Linked DNA regions of Coturnix japonica. The main gene of each other region encodes a partner of the protein of the gene in region 2 in a complex. Links are inferred from orthologs where the notes say so. Each region holds a gene or a part of one and is shown on either strand. Other genes may lie near its edges. The genes, in order: PPFIBP1 and PPFIA1.

Region 1 (7,676 bases), on a different chromosome or scaffold from region 2:
GTCCTTACATAAAGGTGCGAGTCTAAACCAACTTTTGGGTCAGCATACTTGATCTTGGAGCCCTTTGCTCACAAATAGCATTCAATGGGATATACTATTCATTCCAAGGGTTGCAACGCTGCACTGCACAGCCAGAGCCCCTCCACTTCTGCCTCTCCTGCAGCAAGTGAAGATGGCCAAGGAGGGCACAGGGAGAAGAACGGTTATAGCTACAGCCAATGTCGAGACCTGTACCTAGGTATTTTTAACACCGAGGAAAGAAATCATCTCTTCTACCTAATTGGTTTATCTCGGCCTTTGTACAGAAACAGAAGCACAGCAGTTGGAAAAAGCATAAAGCTTTAACACGCAGCATTTCCCTCACGTATAACAGAAGACAGAAAGGAACAAAACACTCTGGAAGTTAAAGGTATCGAGAAATCATACATGCCCACAGAAGGGGCAACACAAACTGTGGGCAAGCAACAACAAACCCACTGTGATGACTGAACTATTAAGTGAAACTTCCAACCTTTACACAGGAGCGAAGTACAATCTAGGCAGCAGTGTCAGAAACATGACAGACATCCACTATCCTCAGCCCAAGCTGGACCAAACATACACCAACGTGTGAAAAAGAGAAACTAGATGCATGCTTCCCTGCACCTTGCAGAGCGTTCATCACTGAACACCCTTGCTAGAGTCTTCAGAGCAAGGAAAAACCCACTGAGATGGCTGTTAGGACTTAACATAAACAGCAAAGGAATGAAGTTAAAGATGTAACAGCTTTGGAAAACAACCCTGCAGCAAGAGAAACACTGTTACCCATAAAGATCAAGCCTGAATTCCGGCTCTGACTTCTCAAGAACTGGGTGGGAGATGTGATCTCACAGAAGGAACATGCAGCTTTTCCTAGGACAGGCTGCAAATAGTGCTTTATACATCAGCCACCTCCAAAGAGCTACCTGAGCAGTGACAGCCACTGATTCCAGAGCCAATGATTAAATGACAACAGTGAATCTTCCAGCAACACTCCTCATTTTCCTACCATGACTCAAGGGCAGGTTGATGCCCTTATCTTACTGAAGCTAGAATAGTCAGTGCAAATGCAAGGATTGGTGGGTGAAGAAGGAGAAAAAGACACGGTATTTCTGTTAAGGAGACACTGCAGAACACCAGCTCAGCTCTGGGCATGAAAACAAAGTGATCACAGGGCAGGACAGGGTGTGAATTTATAGTACATGCTCAATAAACATTAAGTGACCGCCTGGGTACAGACACCAGCAGTAAACACAATGTAGGCGATGTAGTTTACCTCTCTTGGACTGCACCCAAGAGCACAGTTGCTAATGAGATGACTAATGGGATCTCACTATTACAACTTGGGGGGGAGGGGGGGGAAGAAGGGAGAGTTGCTCAGCCTGAGTATAAAAAGGCATTAATCGGTTTTATTATTAAGGTACTAAGTGTTTTTAGTTATTCTTAACATACAGTTGTATGCACACTCTACATAAGAGGAGTGAACACAACAAAACCTGCCTGAACCTTCCAATCAACCCACTCCACATTTTTCAAGGCTATGGATGTAGTGAGGCCATACAAAAATGGGCCAGGACACATCTGAATAACCTTAAAGAAGCAACTACACCAGAGTTTTGCTTTGAGGGCAGAAAATAACAAAGGTCGTACAGACAAGAAGAAGCCACCGTGGGTATGCCAACCTAATGGCCATTTGTGAGATGAGGCACAGGACCGGCACCTTGCCAAAATGCCCACAGATTCAGCAGTGGGACACAGGGGCTCTCCTCAATTCTAACACCACAAGAATTTCCAAGACACTCCACTATCTCTCTAAATCCTGGCAAATATTTGGGCTATTTCTTTCTCTACAAAGAACTACTCCAAACTAGCAGACCCTCCCTCCAAACTGGGTACTTACTTTCCTGAACTGCTCTTCCCCCACCACAGGAGTCAAGGGAATGTTTTGGACCGTCATTATCAGAGCCATAGCCCAGATAACCCCATGCTCCTTCACCTATACAGAGACCTAATACGAAGCACCACAGAAGCTATCAGTTGGGTTTGCAGAACTCAGCTAAATTAGATAGCAGTGCTATCTTGCGCACCCCCAGTAAGCCAAAGGTCCATCTTGATGCCATCACATCACTCTTAAGAAAGTGACTAAGCTTTCTGTCCTCTTACTTCAGGGGAAGAACTTTCCGCTCGCTGAAACCATCTTGATTCCCTGATGTGGTGAAAGATGAAAACACCACGGAAGCCCCATTTGTGCACAAGAAGACACAAAACAACCTGCAGAACGCTGGGGGTCTGCACATCTTCACACAGATGTCTTCACACAGATGTCTTCACGCCATCCTGACCTGCCTGGTAAGCAGAAAGCAGTTTGTCCCCCACGGCACGGACAAGTGATGGAACCAGGCTGTCAGTACCACAGCAGAACAAGTCTCAGTCTCCCAGAGTATCTGTATTTCCAGGAACACCAATTACTGCAAGAAAGGCCTCCCACGACACCTCCACAGGCCTCCTCATCAGGACAACATCGCTTCCCACAGCGTGTTTTACACTGCAGCAGGCAGAACAGGCCGCAGCAGAAAGAAGACTCATAGCAAAAGAAGATAACACTCAGCAGAGCCTCCTGCCTTGTGTGACACCCCCGACCTCAAGGCACTCCACCGTGAGTGGAAGCAGAAACGTTACTCACCAATTTATCCTGCTGCAGATATGTGCACACTAGACAGGACAGCTCAAATGTTCTTCAGACAAACTGCAAAACCCAAAGCTCACCAAGAAAGCACATGAATCTGGCCCCATGTGTTTTGTCTGGCGCCCCTGCCATTATCTGACTTTGGAAGGCCATCCCGGCAGTGGAGCACCTATCAGTGCCCCGCTCCACAGGCAGCGTGCCTCAAAACACGAGCAGTGCTGCTATAGAGACAGAGGGCTCCTCGAGGCCCAACTCTGCAGCCAGGCAAACACGTGCAACTCCTTCGTGGAGGAGAACAGCAGCAACTTTGTACTCCAGGCACAGCAGCAGCAATCTTAAAGCATGAGCCATACGACACGCAGCGACTGTCACCCTCACGTAAATGCCGAACGATCCCCCTGCTGCTAGGAGCTGATCTACACCATACAGCTCTTTAAGAAACTGTGCTAAATCCTATCATCTCTGCCGGGATGGCTTCCACCCAAACTGTGCAGCGCTGCGGCTCCTCGTTTCCTACTGACATAGAGAAACCAAGAGACCAAAACACCCACTGCATTTGGAGCTGAGACCTCAAACAGACTTCAGCTCACCTGGTTTGTGGGACGTCTCTGCCACCTGTGCATGCTGCATCCATGAGATCCATGCTCAGGTTTTTATGGTAATTCTAAACCACTTTTGCCTTTCACAAACATAAATCTGAAGCGATGGCCACTATCTTTAATGGGAGCAATAAATCTGGGTTTCGCACACCGGAACCTCTTGCTGTCAGACACACTCGATCACGGAAGCACAAAGACTCTCGCTCTGGGTGACCCATTTTTGCTGCTTCATTTTTGGAATGCAGGCACTCACGCTGCTCGGTCGTGCTGCCATTTCGATCCACACCACGCTTACACGTCCTGCTGTCGGTTCTATCCGTCTTTGGGCTGATACAACCAGCACCAGTAGGGCGGGCAGAACCTGCGTCCCAAGCACCTCTGCCCAGGACCGCACACCGAAGCGGAGCACTAACAGCACAGCTCTCCTTCCCCCTGCAAACATCTACAAAGCACCTTTTCACTACCACGGCTGCACCCAGCAGGGCGTGAGCCAGCACGGCTATTTCGGCCCGTATCAGCCGCAGACCTAAAAGAAACAGTCTCAGAAGAAATAATTACAAGACACCGGAACCCCAGGCCCTACATCCAAACGCACTCTCCCGCTCGGGACACAACTCCCGGCCGAAGTTCCCCACCACTTGTAGCCGCAGCGCCCCGCCGAATCCCGCCCATAGGGACGCAGCCCCGCACGGCTCCCCGGGCACAGCGTAACTCCCAGCGGCTCAGGGCACAGCCCGCCCCGCCGGATGCAGCGGGGCACGCTGGGCTCGGCCCGGAGCAGCCGGGATGTTGGAACCCGCGCTCCTCCACCCCATGCGGGCCCTGCGCCTCCTCAGGGCGAGGGTGCGCGGCGAGACCCCCCCCGCGGTGCTGGACCGCCTCCCTCCTCCCGCCCGGTGCCCCCTTACCCGCGTCCAAACCCCTCGCGGGGCTCCCGTGCCTCCTCCTCTGCCGGCTCCGGGCGGCCTCCGTCCCGCCCCGCCCGCACCCCGCCTGGCACACGGCGGCCGGGACCCAGCGGGGCCGCCCCGCGCCGGGCGCTCGCCTCACACCCCGCCCCGGGGCCGGGCTTCCCCGACGGGGCGGGCGGCAGCGCCGGGTCGGGTCGGAGCCGATTGGGCCCGACGGCAGTCAGTCTGCAGGAGGAGGCGGACGGGGAAAGGAGGAGGGGGCGGTGGGACTGGGGTCCCTCCCGCCGCCTTCGCGCCTCGGGAGGATTTGGGCGTCTGAGCCTCAGTGTCGAGCATCGGGCTGTGGGGTTGTGCTGAGGGACGCTGCTCCTCCCGTGCCCTCCTCCGAGGACTGATGCTTTTGTATGTGGAAAAAGTGACTCGGTCGTGCTTCGCTTCTGAACACGGCTTCTTAAAAAGTGGTTTTCTTTCTATTCTATAGTGTGGAAAGCTAGGATTTGGGGTTCTCAGCAAAACACGCAGCCTGCAGCTTGCTGTTCAAGCACAGCACACGCAGGGGGAAGCTGATCTAAAGACATTCTTATGGCTGGTTACCTACCTGTGGCATAGGGCGCAGAGCTGCTGCACATCACAGATTGAACAGGCTGCAAGAAAAGGAGTAAATGCAGCTGTGCGACCCTAATCCCTGGCCCTGCCTGCTGGCCTTTAGCTCCCCCATCTCAATGCTTGTCAACTGCAAGTTTCAACCCTGTGACATCCATTTTGGCGATTGTTTTTTGCTCATTTTCTTGAGTCATTGTTGATTCCATCAAGGCTGGTGCTGCCCCTCATCTTGCTGTTGGCTTCAAACATGAGGCTCCCTGTCCTGCTCTCCATCCATTTCCCATCTCAGGGCTGACTGCAGCTGGATTTGCATCCTAACAAACACCCGGGACAGCTTTCAATCCCGGCTGGAGCTCAGTGTTCAGCAGGCTTTGCTTTCTGAGTCAACTGTTCATTTCTGTTAATTCCTTTTCCATTTTTATTAATCCTTTAATTCAGAAAGCAAAGATTCTTCTTACAGCACCTAATTCAGAAGGGCTTTGTTAGGACGGCATATGAGTGAGATCCACCTGAAAGCAAACTGAGCGGGCAGAGCTTTCAAACAACTATCAGTCCAAGAAAATGCCTTTGCGTTACAGAAAATACCTCTGCAAGTTAAGGCAAATCTCTGATAAGGTTTTCTGGCCTGCTTATCTCTCATCTCCCAGAACAGCTTACCCCTTGTTGCCCCAGGCTGGTTTGCAAGGGAAGGCTGATTTTCTCTACCTTTGTGAAAACACAGTATCTGAGTTGTCCCTCCGTGAGGGTCATGGGAGATGATGACAAACTGCAGCATTTCCCAGCATTTTTCACTGCCTGAGGAGGTGGAGGGAAAGATCTTTCCCCTCTTTGCAGTCATAACACTTACAGATCAGTAAGCGGTGGTAAGCCTAGAGTTTCAAGAGCAGCTGGAGGCATTTTGACGGTACAACAGACACTGTCTTACACTGTCTTCTGCAGGTGGTGCTTGGAGTGTTTGATATATCCACAGCGCTGTACAACACAGGACCTTGGTTTGCATGTCAGCTCCTCCAGCTCCTGTCATCACTCTATCTCCTCGTCATGTTAGAATCATAGACTAGAATCATAGGATCATTAAAGCTGGAGAAGACCACTAAGATCATCTAGTCCAACCATCAGCTCATCCCCACTAAGCCGTGTCCCGCAGCGCTACAGCTGTGCTGCCAGCCCCTCCTTTGCATTGGCGTTAGTGACCAGCAGCTTCCCATTCTGCTCATCTGAATTAGTGGAAAAATGACTGTTTTCTTTCAGTGTTATTTTTCAGCTGGAATAGCCCCCCAGGACTGCTGATGCAAAGCAGCGTGTAAAAGACCAGGGCTGTGCTGTCCACCCTCAGCAACTCTGAGAGCAGATTAAACCCAGTGCAAAATATCAGTTATCAGCATGCTTATTAAATCTGCGCTGGATCTTCTCAGTGTTTTTGCCTCAGCTTCACTCCTGAGTGATAAACCTATTGTTTAAAACAGTTTTAAGTGTGCTTATACTTAGCACGCCCTCACAGGCATCGCTATCATGTTTTGCACAGTTTAAGTGACCCACGGTTAACTGGGAGTGATTCACTTTTCAGTTTTGCCCTCCTCTGGTTTTCAAAGCACAGCCATCATCAGCCCCATTCCTTGATATCAATACTGGCTTATGGGCTGGGCTCTTTAACTACAACAACAGGCAGTGCACTCTGTAGCCAGTTCTCCTTTATTTCACTTGCTTTAAAACTTCACCACCTTGTTGGGCCCCAGAAATTTTACATTTAGACCTAAATCACTTGCCAAAACACAACAGCTGGGAGTGCTGAGAGATCTCCTTCCACACAGGTGGTAATTTCACACCAATGCTGCACATGTGCTTTCATTTTAGGAGAGCTTAAAAAGTGGATTCAGCAAGCTGCTCCCCTTCTTCCCAGCCCAGCATTGACCTCAAAGCTGAGTCACAGAATCACAGAATGACCCGGGTTGGAAGGGACCTCCCGGATCATGTAGTTCCAACCCCCCTGCCTGGCAGGGCACCAAACATACACCTTTACTAGATCAGGTTGCCCAGGGCCCCGTCCAACCTGGTCTTGAACACCTCCAAGGACGGGGCATCCACAACCTCCCTGGGCAGCCTGTTCCAGGGCTAACCACTCTCCTAGTGAAGAACTTCCCCCTAACATCCAACCTAAATCTTCCCTCTTTTAACTTAAAACTATTTCCCCTGTGTCCTGCTATTGTCAGCCCTTTCAAGAGTTTACTCCCCTCCTGGAGTAAGTTCCCTTCAGGTATTGAAAGGCTGCAATGAGGTCACCCCGCAAGGTGTCAAGGTGTTTTGGGGCCAGGCCTCTGCTCCTGTGTCCCCTGGCACAGCAGTGTCAGCTAGGGCTGCAGTGAGAGCTGCCCTTTGGTGGCAGAGCGGCACCAGCACTCATGCAGGAGAACCGTGTTTCTATCAGGGTGGCTTATTTTGCTTGACAAAGCTGGGATTTGCTTGCTCAGCAGAAGCTCAGCTTTACATCCACTTTGGGAATGTTTGCTTTTTGAACAACCACTGTAGCTGTGCTGTCTGAGCTGCCCTGGCTTTCAGCTACCCGAGGTACCCCAACTGTTAAAGCCTCAGCTATCACAGAGACAGCTGTCTGAGCCACAACCTTGAGCTTATCTATCACATCCTAGAACAAAGCTCTGTACAAACCATTAATAGCTGTCAAATCAACAATTTTACATTCCTTCACGTGTTTAAATTCCCCTCCAATCTCTTACTAAAAATGAGAGGAAGAAAGCAGAGGAGATTAGGTGCTAAGAGCATGGACAGTGCACAGCAACCTCAGTATGTAATGCTCCAAGAACTGTCAAATTTGTGGCCTTGGCCGTCCTGTCACTGCCTCTT
Region 2 (7,226 bases):
CAGTAAGGCGTTCTTTCATTTGTGTCTGTTCCTTGTTTTGCTTATCTATGATGTCTTGGAGTTCAATCACTTTAGCAAGATTTTCATCATGGCACAAAGAACCATCAGAAGATCGCTATTAAGGAGAGAAAAATAATTACATATCACATAGAAATTTGAAAAAGAACAGTTAAGTTCACATCCCACCCCTGAAATAATTCTATTATGAGATAAACTGCAAAAACCTAAACAGGCTTTTTGATTAAATCTTCACTCATAATCTTCTATTATGGTTTGCAATTAAAATATTCTGGCTAATCTTAACATAATAATAAAAATAATCAGACAGCTTAAAGCAAATAGCCCTTACCTTCCCATTTGTAGTTGGTGTATTTTCTTGTTCGTGATTTATATCCAGCATCCCATCTGGAAGCGTTTTTTTCTGATTATTTTGCTCTTTCAGAATCATTAACTAAAAGAAAACAAAAGCTTATGTAAGTTTCAAGTTTAATTTCCATCTCAATAGCAATATAAAGAACAGCTGCAAAAGCAAAGGAGCAAAACAAAGTTACTGATTTCACTGCAAGGTATGTATTAAGAAAATATGTCACAAGTACTCAAAAAATATGCCACTGCTCCCCAACAGCAGCTGTTCTAAAACCACAGAAACTATTTTGTTTGTTTTTCTCAAGTTTGATTTTCTTTTTTTTTTCCCCCCTCTCTCCCCTTCTGCTCTTTCATAGTTACAGAATTAAAAACTACAGTCAACTCCACTTGGTAAAAATTAAAAGCACAAAATTGAAAGAAAATCTTTAATAACTGAATAAATGACAAGTATTGATTAAACACAGTGCACACCTGAAGAATACTTTTAAAAGAAACTTACCTCTTTATGTGTAGTACCTAGTTCTTCCTCCAATAAGCTACATCTTTCAAGTGCTACTCGTAACCTCTCTCTTACCTGAAAGAGTCATTTCAGTGATATCAACTATTTGAAATAAGGAAATCAAGTTCACACACTGTCATTCTGTCACACACTCTCGGGTTACAAACAGTGCTTTATTTTCACTACATTCAGAGATCAGCTTAATCTCAAGCCACTAGTAATTACAACAGGAACTACCAAAAAGAATTATATCTAGATAAACGAGTGTCTCACAATCTAGTTTTTTCTTCTTTTTTCAATCATTAGCATACTATATTCCAGCATGACCTGTACACATAGGCAAGAATTAAGCAAATCCAGAATTTACCCACCCTTTTGTAAGGTACAAAGCATGTGTGCTTTTCCTCATTCTCTACAAGGAAGAAAGGATATATATCTCCTGAAAATAACCTGCAAGACTTTATATACAAATTCACAAAAGTAGTTCAGCAAACTATGAGTTGGCAGCAAAATTCACAATAAGTTTCACCATTTGCATTGCCTGCTTCTAACATCAGGTACAGCTGAAGGGCGGAGCTCCTTTAAATCAGCTTTATTTAATAGCTCAGTGTAAGCAGATTTCTTTCCTCCTGTTCTCTCTAGTCCACTTGTTGTATTACACAATTAAAAGACTAAATCCTGATATTATACAGGTAAACAAACATGCTTTGCTCCAACAAATATATAAACCAAGCATGGTTTGGATGCAATATTAGCACATTTGACAGAATGATGGAATAAGCTTACTGCAATATAACACCTTATCTTGGGAGCACAGTTATTGACAGTATTTTAGTACGGTCTCCACTTTAATATAACAAGTATATACAACTGTATGGTTTACACTAAGAAGGAAAACATGAAGCAGCATAGTTATTACCTTTTCATCAAGGGCTTTATGGTGTTCAAATAAAGATTTTAGTGCTTTGAGAACTTCTACTTCACTAGAAACTCCTGCTGGAGACTGAGCTTGTCTCTTCACGACAGTCATTCTGAGAGACCGCTCATGCCTGGAGACGAGACACTCCAAATGTTCCAGTAACAGCTACAAAAAAAGAAAAAAAAAAGCAACAATTTTTATTCCCATTCTACAGAGTTACAGAAAACTGTGCCTCCAAAAACATGGCATTTTGACGTCTAAATTTCAAGCAACCATTAATTATACCAAGTCTAAGGATGCATTTTATTAACATTTCATTCATTTCACCCATACTAGAAGTGATATCAGAGCTAACGAATTCCCTATACTCTATGTAGTTTTAAAATCAGGTTTCTACTTAACTGACCCTTTCCAGTTCTTCCTCTAATCTGAAGAACAGCATGCTTGTCTGAAGGACATACAAATGAAATACCCTTAACTTTCTGCTGGCAGAATCTGTGTAATCTGATGGAAAAGACCACTACAGCTTGCCCACTCAACTCCTCTAATCTTGAGCACGATATATTTTCAAATCTGTAACTAGAAGAGAGTTGAATAACAGATAGTACTGTGATCTTAAATGCCTTTTTCCTGATTCTGCACAGCAATATTTGGAGCCATACATAAGCTTCCAGGCCTTCTTAACATACATTTGCACCCCCAGAATTACCCCTGTGCAAATAGCAAGGTAAGAAAGCATTGAGCTTTTCTAACTCAATATCCTTTTTTTTCCCCCCCTTCATTTCATTGGATGCTAGAAAACCAACGATCTTGGAGAGAAGACAAGGAACTAACCCTTGTATTATTTCTTTCAGCTTTCAGTTCAGCAATTTCTTCTTCCCTTTCAAGCAGCTGTTCCCTGCATACATTTAGCTCTTTTGTAAGCGCTGCGAATTCCTGAAATAAACCAGACAAATGTAAATACATTAAATCCTAGGATGTAGCAAGAGTGGATTCATATGAACACTTGATGGAATTTCTTAAAGAATTCATTTCAGATTTCTAAAGCCAATACATTTGTACAGTCACGATAAGCAGGCTTAAGTTTCAATGCTTAAAACAGTTATAAAGTGACAATAAAATACACTGGAACGGTACTATGATAACCTTCTTCTGTCTTTCCAGGTAATTACATGAGTTAGGGTAACCCTGTTCACAGAATCACAGAATTATCAAGTTGGAAAAGACTTGGAAGATCATCCAGTCCAACCATCACCAATACTTCCCAGCTAGATCACATTCATCAACACAACATCCAGACGTTTCTTGAACACTCCCATGGTCGGTGACTCCACCACCTCCCTGGGCAGTGCATTCCAATGCCTGACTACCCTTTCCAAGAAATAATACTTCCTAATGTCCAGCCTGAATCTCCCCTGGCGCAGCTTAAAACCATTCCCTCTAGTTCTATCATCGATTACACGAGAGAAGAGGCCAACCCCCAGCTCACTACAACCTCCCTTCAGTTCAACAAAGAGAAAAGCCTGTTTCTATTGCACTTGCATATTGTTTCTAAGGTTTGGGTTTTCTGATACAAAGAGATACTACTGCGCAACTGGAATAGCTACAATATCCTAAACTATTTCCATTCTCTAGCAACAATGTTACAAGAAACATAAAAGGCATTGGACCAACTGAAGGAGCACAATCCGGATACAATGTAAGATACAACTACATAGTATCATTCGGTAAATGCTGAGAATTCCATTCCAGCTTAGTTTGGTAACATTTCAGGTGTAATCTGAAACATTAAGAACAATTATTAGCAGTAAGCCTAAACATGAATGAGGTCATACTTTAGAGGACAGTGCTATATGAAACAGACCGCTTTTGTTAACTATGTCACTTAGGATAAGAAAATACACATCAGCCAACTCAGTAGCTGGTGAACATTACAGAAGATAGAAAAGCTAGTAAACTAATTAGTCTTCTCTATTTTTCTACTTTCTATAAAAGAGAAAGATAAATCATGTCTGTTAGAAAGCCCATAAGTACAGTTGCACTGCTAAGACAATCAAGGTAACAATAAGAATATGCTGTGTAAATACACTGCATAAAAGTTACTTCTCTAATCTTTCCAAACTCTGCAAGATACGCTGCTCAACTGGCAACAGCTGCATATCAAGTAAAGGCTTAAGATGGAGCTGTTTTGTAGTAAAATTCAAAGTGACAAAAAGCCATGCTGAAAACAAAAGGACACATCAACTATTTATACTAGTACGTCCATTCACTCTAACTGGAAGCTAAAACAAGCAGCCTAAAAACGTCTTAATTGAAGTAATTAAAAGACTGGTTTAGAATGCTTTAATCTAAAACACATACATGACAAAGAATTCTTTTGCACGATATATTGCCTAGAGAGAACTCCTTCAGGATTACTAACACAGCAGGTGCTAAAAGTTGTCATGAACAGAAAACAGCACCACCACAGATAGAGAATCCCTCATCATAACCACTCCTGCTAAATAAAAACTTATCATGCATATTCCAGTCAGAATTTGTGAGCATCATTAGCTCACCCCCAGTAACTCTGTGGGACTTTCCACGACTCCCAAGCAAATGACAGCATGCATCTCTTTTGCTCCAGATGGAAGCACAGGTAAACCCAGCCGAGGTTCTAAACGTGTAGTTCTTCACAGGCCCATCCCACTTATCTTTGTATATTATGCAACTGACTGTTTTCAAGTTGTAATGAAGTACTAGAAGTACTAAGTACAAGACTCAAAGTATTTCCAAAAGAGCTTGATACAAACTTACTTTATGGGTTGCTCTTTTCCCCCGTTTTCCAAACAAATAAAAATGCCTCCAAGTGCCAACATCAAAATCCAGAAGCATGGAGACTCAGAAAGGACATCAGGCTGACATGGTGAGCTCTACATTCCTCTAGACTATCTCTGTTCTTCAGGACAGAACACTGAAAGCAGTAAGGATTGCCAGACACTGTTTTGCCACTTGTCCTCAACTTAGTATCACTGTATGGCATTAATAAAAATGTTGCTGAGGACAACAATGAGCTCTGCCTACAGAAAAGCAGTGTATGTTTCAAAGGAAGTTGATTCACCCTTCAAATAATAATTACAGACAGTTCTGTTCCATTGCATTCTCCTGTGCAAATATAAACTGTAGCACAAATATATCATAATTCTGACACGAACCATCACACTGCGAGGCGACCCAAGAAGAACAATGTACATGGGAATTTATACTGCTGCTCCATAAACAGACTGACACGTATTTCTAGCATTGCATAATACATTCATTGCTGTTTGTTTTTACAAAACGTATTTGCTTAGAGTCCCATAAGCTGCTCCATAAAGAACACTCAAGTGTCCTCAGTTTCAGCTGATGCTGCCAAAAGACATGTCCTTTCTAGTTTAAATCACTCTCTTCAGCAGTAGATAATTTGTGATTTCCTCAAGCAGTTCGAAAGGAAACTTTGCAACTTCATGACCTAAAAACATTCTGATTTATCTCACCTTCTCTGGCACTAAATCAATGTACAGAAGCAAATACAAGAAACAAGAAAATTCATAAGCAGCTTTTTTACTTGTCCAAATACCATATTGCTTTGTACATAAAGAGAAGCTTGAAAGTTTCAGAACTGAAGATCTGCTTTGCTTCCAGTTGCAATCAAAATAATAAATACTCCACTCTGAAATTGACAGGAGTGGGAACTCAGAATAAGCCCGACAGAGCACTTACTACAAGAAACAGTGTGCCAAATATACTAGATAAATATCCTCTGTTGTTTAGAGTGCACTGGCAAAAACCCATGTAGTAAACTGAAATGCTTACTCAAAAAAGTAACTTTCTGAACCAAACGACACTCAATGTCAGAAAAGAAAACTCAGCAGAAAACTAAACTCAGAAGTATTAGCTCTGTTGCTGTTCAGTAATATATTTTCTGGGTTTTATCCACATATTCCAACATTTCTATATGTCTTCATTAAAAAGAACTGACCTTCACCCCCCAGTTCTAAACACCACAGACATTCTTCCAACAAGTAGCACCAGCTGATCTAGCTGTCAAGCCTGTAGAATTGCAATGTATGATCTTATATTTGACTACTTAAAAGATGATATAACATGGGTTGTACAGCAGGGATGCCCTTTCTATGATAACTGCAGAGAACAGTAGGGTTGCTTGAGACTTGCTTAAACATAAGACATTTTTGCACAGAACACAAACACCACTCAAGCAACTAAGGATTCAAGATTAACGGTAACAAGGTGACTATAAAACTTACTTTAAGGATAAGAGGGCAAGAAAAGCTTTTAGCTCATCAAGGAAATATTATGTATTAAAAAAATATCTTCTGGCAATACAAGGATGAAGATGCAACTGTTGCACCTCTAGGAACATCTCTGCCCCAACTATGTGAGCAATATTTACCTATTTAATCCTTAAGTAACGTTCTGTTTTACTGTTAACATTCTGTTCTGTAATCTGCACATCAAACAACCTACACAAGTATCCAATATGCTGAAAATATGGTAAGAACAACAGGGGAACAACCCAGGCCATCAGGGATGAGAAACCAAGGTAAATATGTGACAAGTTTCAATGACGTTATTCATATTACATGCAATCCATGCTTACTCCAAACACTGTGCACACAGAAATGAGAACTGTCATAAATACAACAAAGTAAACCTAAATATCTACACTTAACAGGATATTTAATAGCCAACTCATTTTAAAACTAATGGTTATAGACAGCAGCAGTGGCCAATATCCCAACATAACTGGTTTTAAAATACACATTTAATAGAACTGTTTAACAGAATCTGGAGGGGTCAAGTACCAGCAAGCAAGTTTTGTAGCTATTGACTCACACCAGTTCACCTTTTTCAGCTCACAGGATTATTTAATAATTCAAGAGCAGAGCTACAACTCAAAAGCACTTGCATGTTTTGATCATTAAAATCCTGCCTTCCAAGAAAATGCAGAAACCCCAGAGGAAACAATAACCAACGTAAGCAGCGCTTTGCCTATCCAGCCCAATAAATCCGATTACTTTCAGCCTTTCCAGTATCTATGGCATGCTAGAATGGAAAGACAAAAATTAGCCTAGAATGTATAAAAAAAGAATTTGCTTTTCACCCAATGAGATTACTTTCACCCAATGAGTAAGCATCAAACACAGATATGGTTATGTCAGACTCCTGAGAGTGAACTTAAAAGATCTTTCACTCTCAAACTGGCAGAGAACCTGCCTGCCGGTAAGAACAGTGCAGTAAACACCGCCTTTAAAAATATCCACCCTCCTCTCCTATTCCTCATTTTGCTTAAGAGGTTTAAGTAGCTCACAAAAAATACCAAACTCCGCTATTAAAACACAGGTGCAAATTTCTTCAACAATTACAATTTTTTCACATTCCAGCCACCGACACTGAGATAGT

The links.
Region 1: PPFIA1 (region 2) and PPFIBP1 share a complex: the UniProt entries of both Homo sapiens proteins name them as parts of the cortical microtubule stabilization complex. The link is inferred for Coturnix japonica from reciprocal best matches to the Homo sapiens genes PPFIA1 and PPFIBP1.

The regions. Positions count from the first base shown.
Region 1 is NC_029516.1:62,677,160-62,684,835, reverse strand, and holds the start of PPFIBP1 (liprin-beta-1), read right to left. Parts: upstream 4,349-7,676; 5' UTR 4,212-4,348; intron 1-4,211. UniProt on the Homo sapiens protein: May regulate the disassembly of focal adhesions. Did not bind receptor-like tyrosine phosphatases type 2A.
Region 2 is NC_029520.1:6,955,158-6,962,383, forward strand, and holds part of PPFIA1 (liprin-alpha-1), read right to left. Parts: intron 2,721-7,226; coding exon 2,619-2,720; intron 1,950-2,618; coding exon 1,785-1,949; intron 941-1,784; coding exon 866-940; intron 452-865; coding exon 350-451; intron 116-349; coding exon 1-115. UniProt on the Homo sapiens protein: May regulate the disassembly of focal adhesions. May localize receptor-like tyrosine phosphatases type 2A at specific sites on the plasma membrane, possibly regulating their interaction with the extracellular environment and their association with substrates.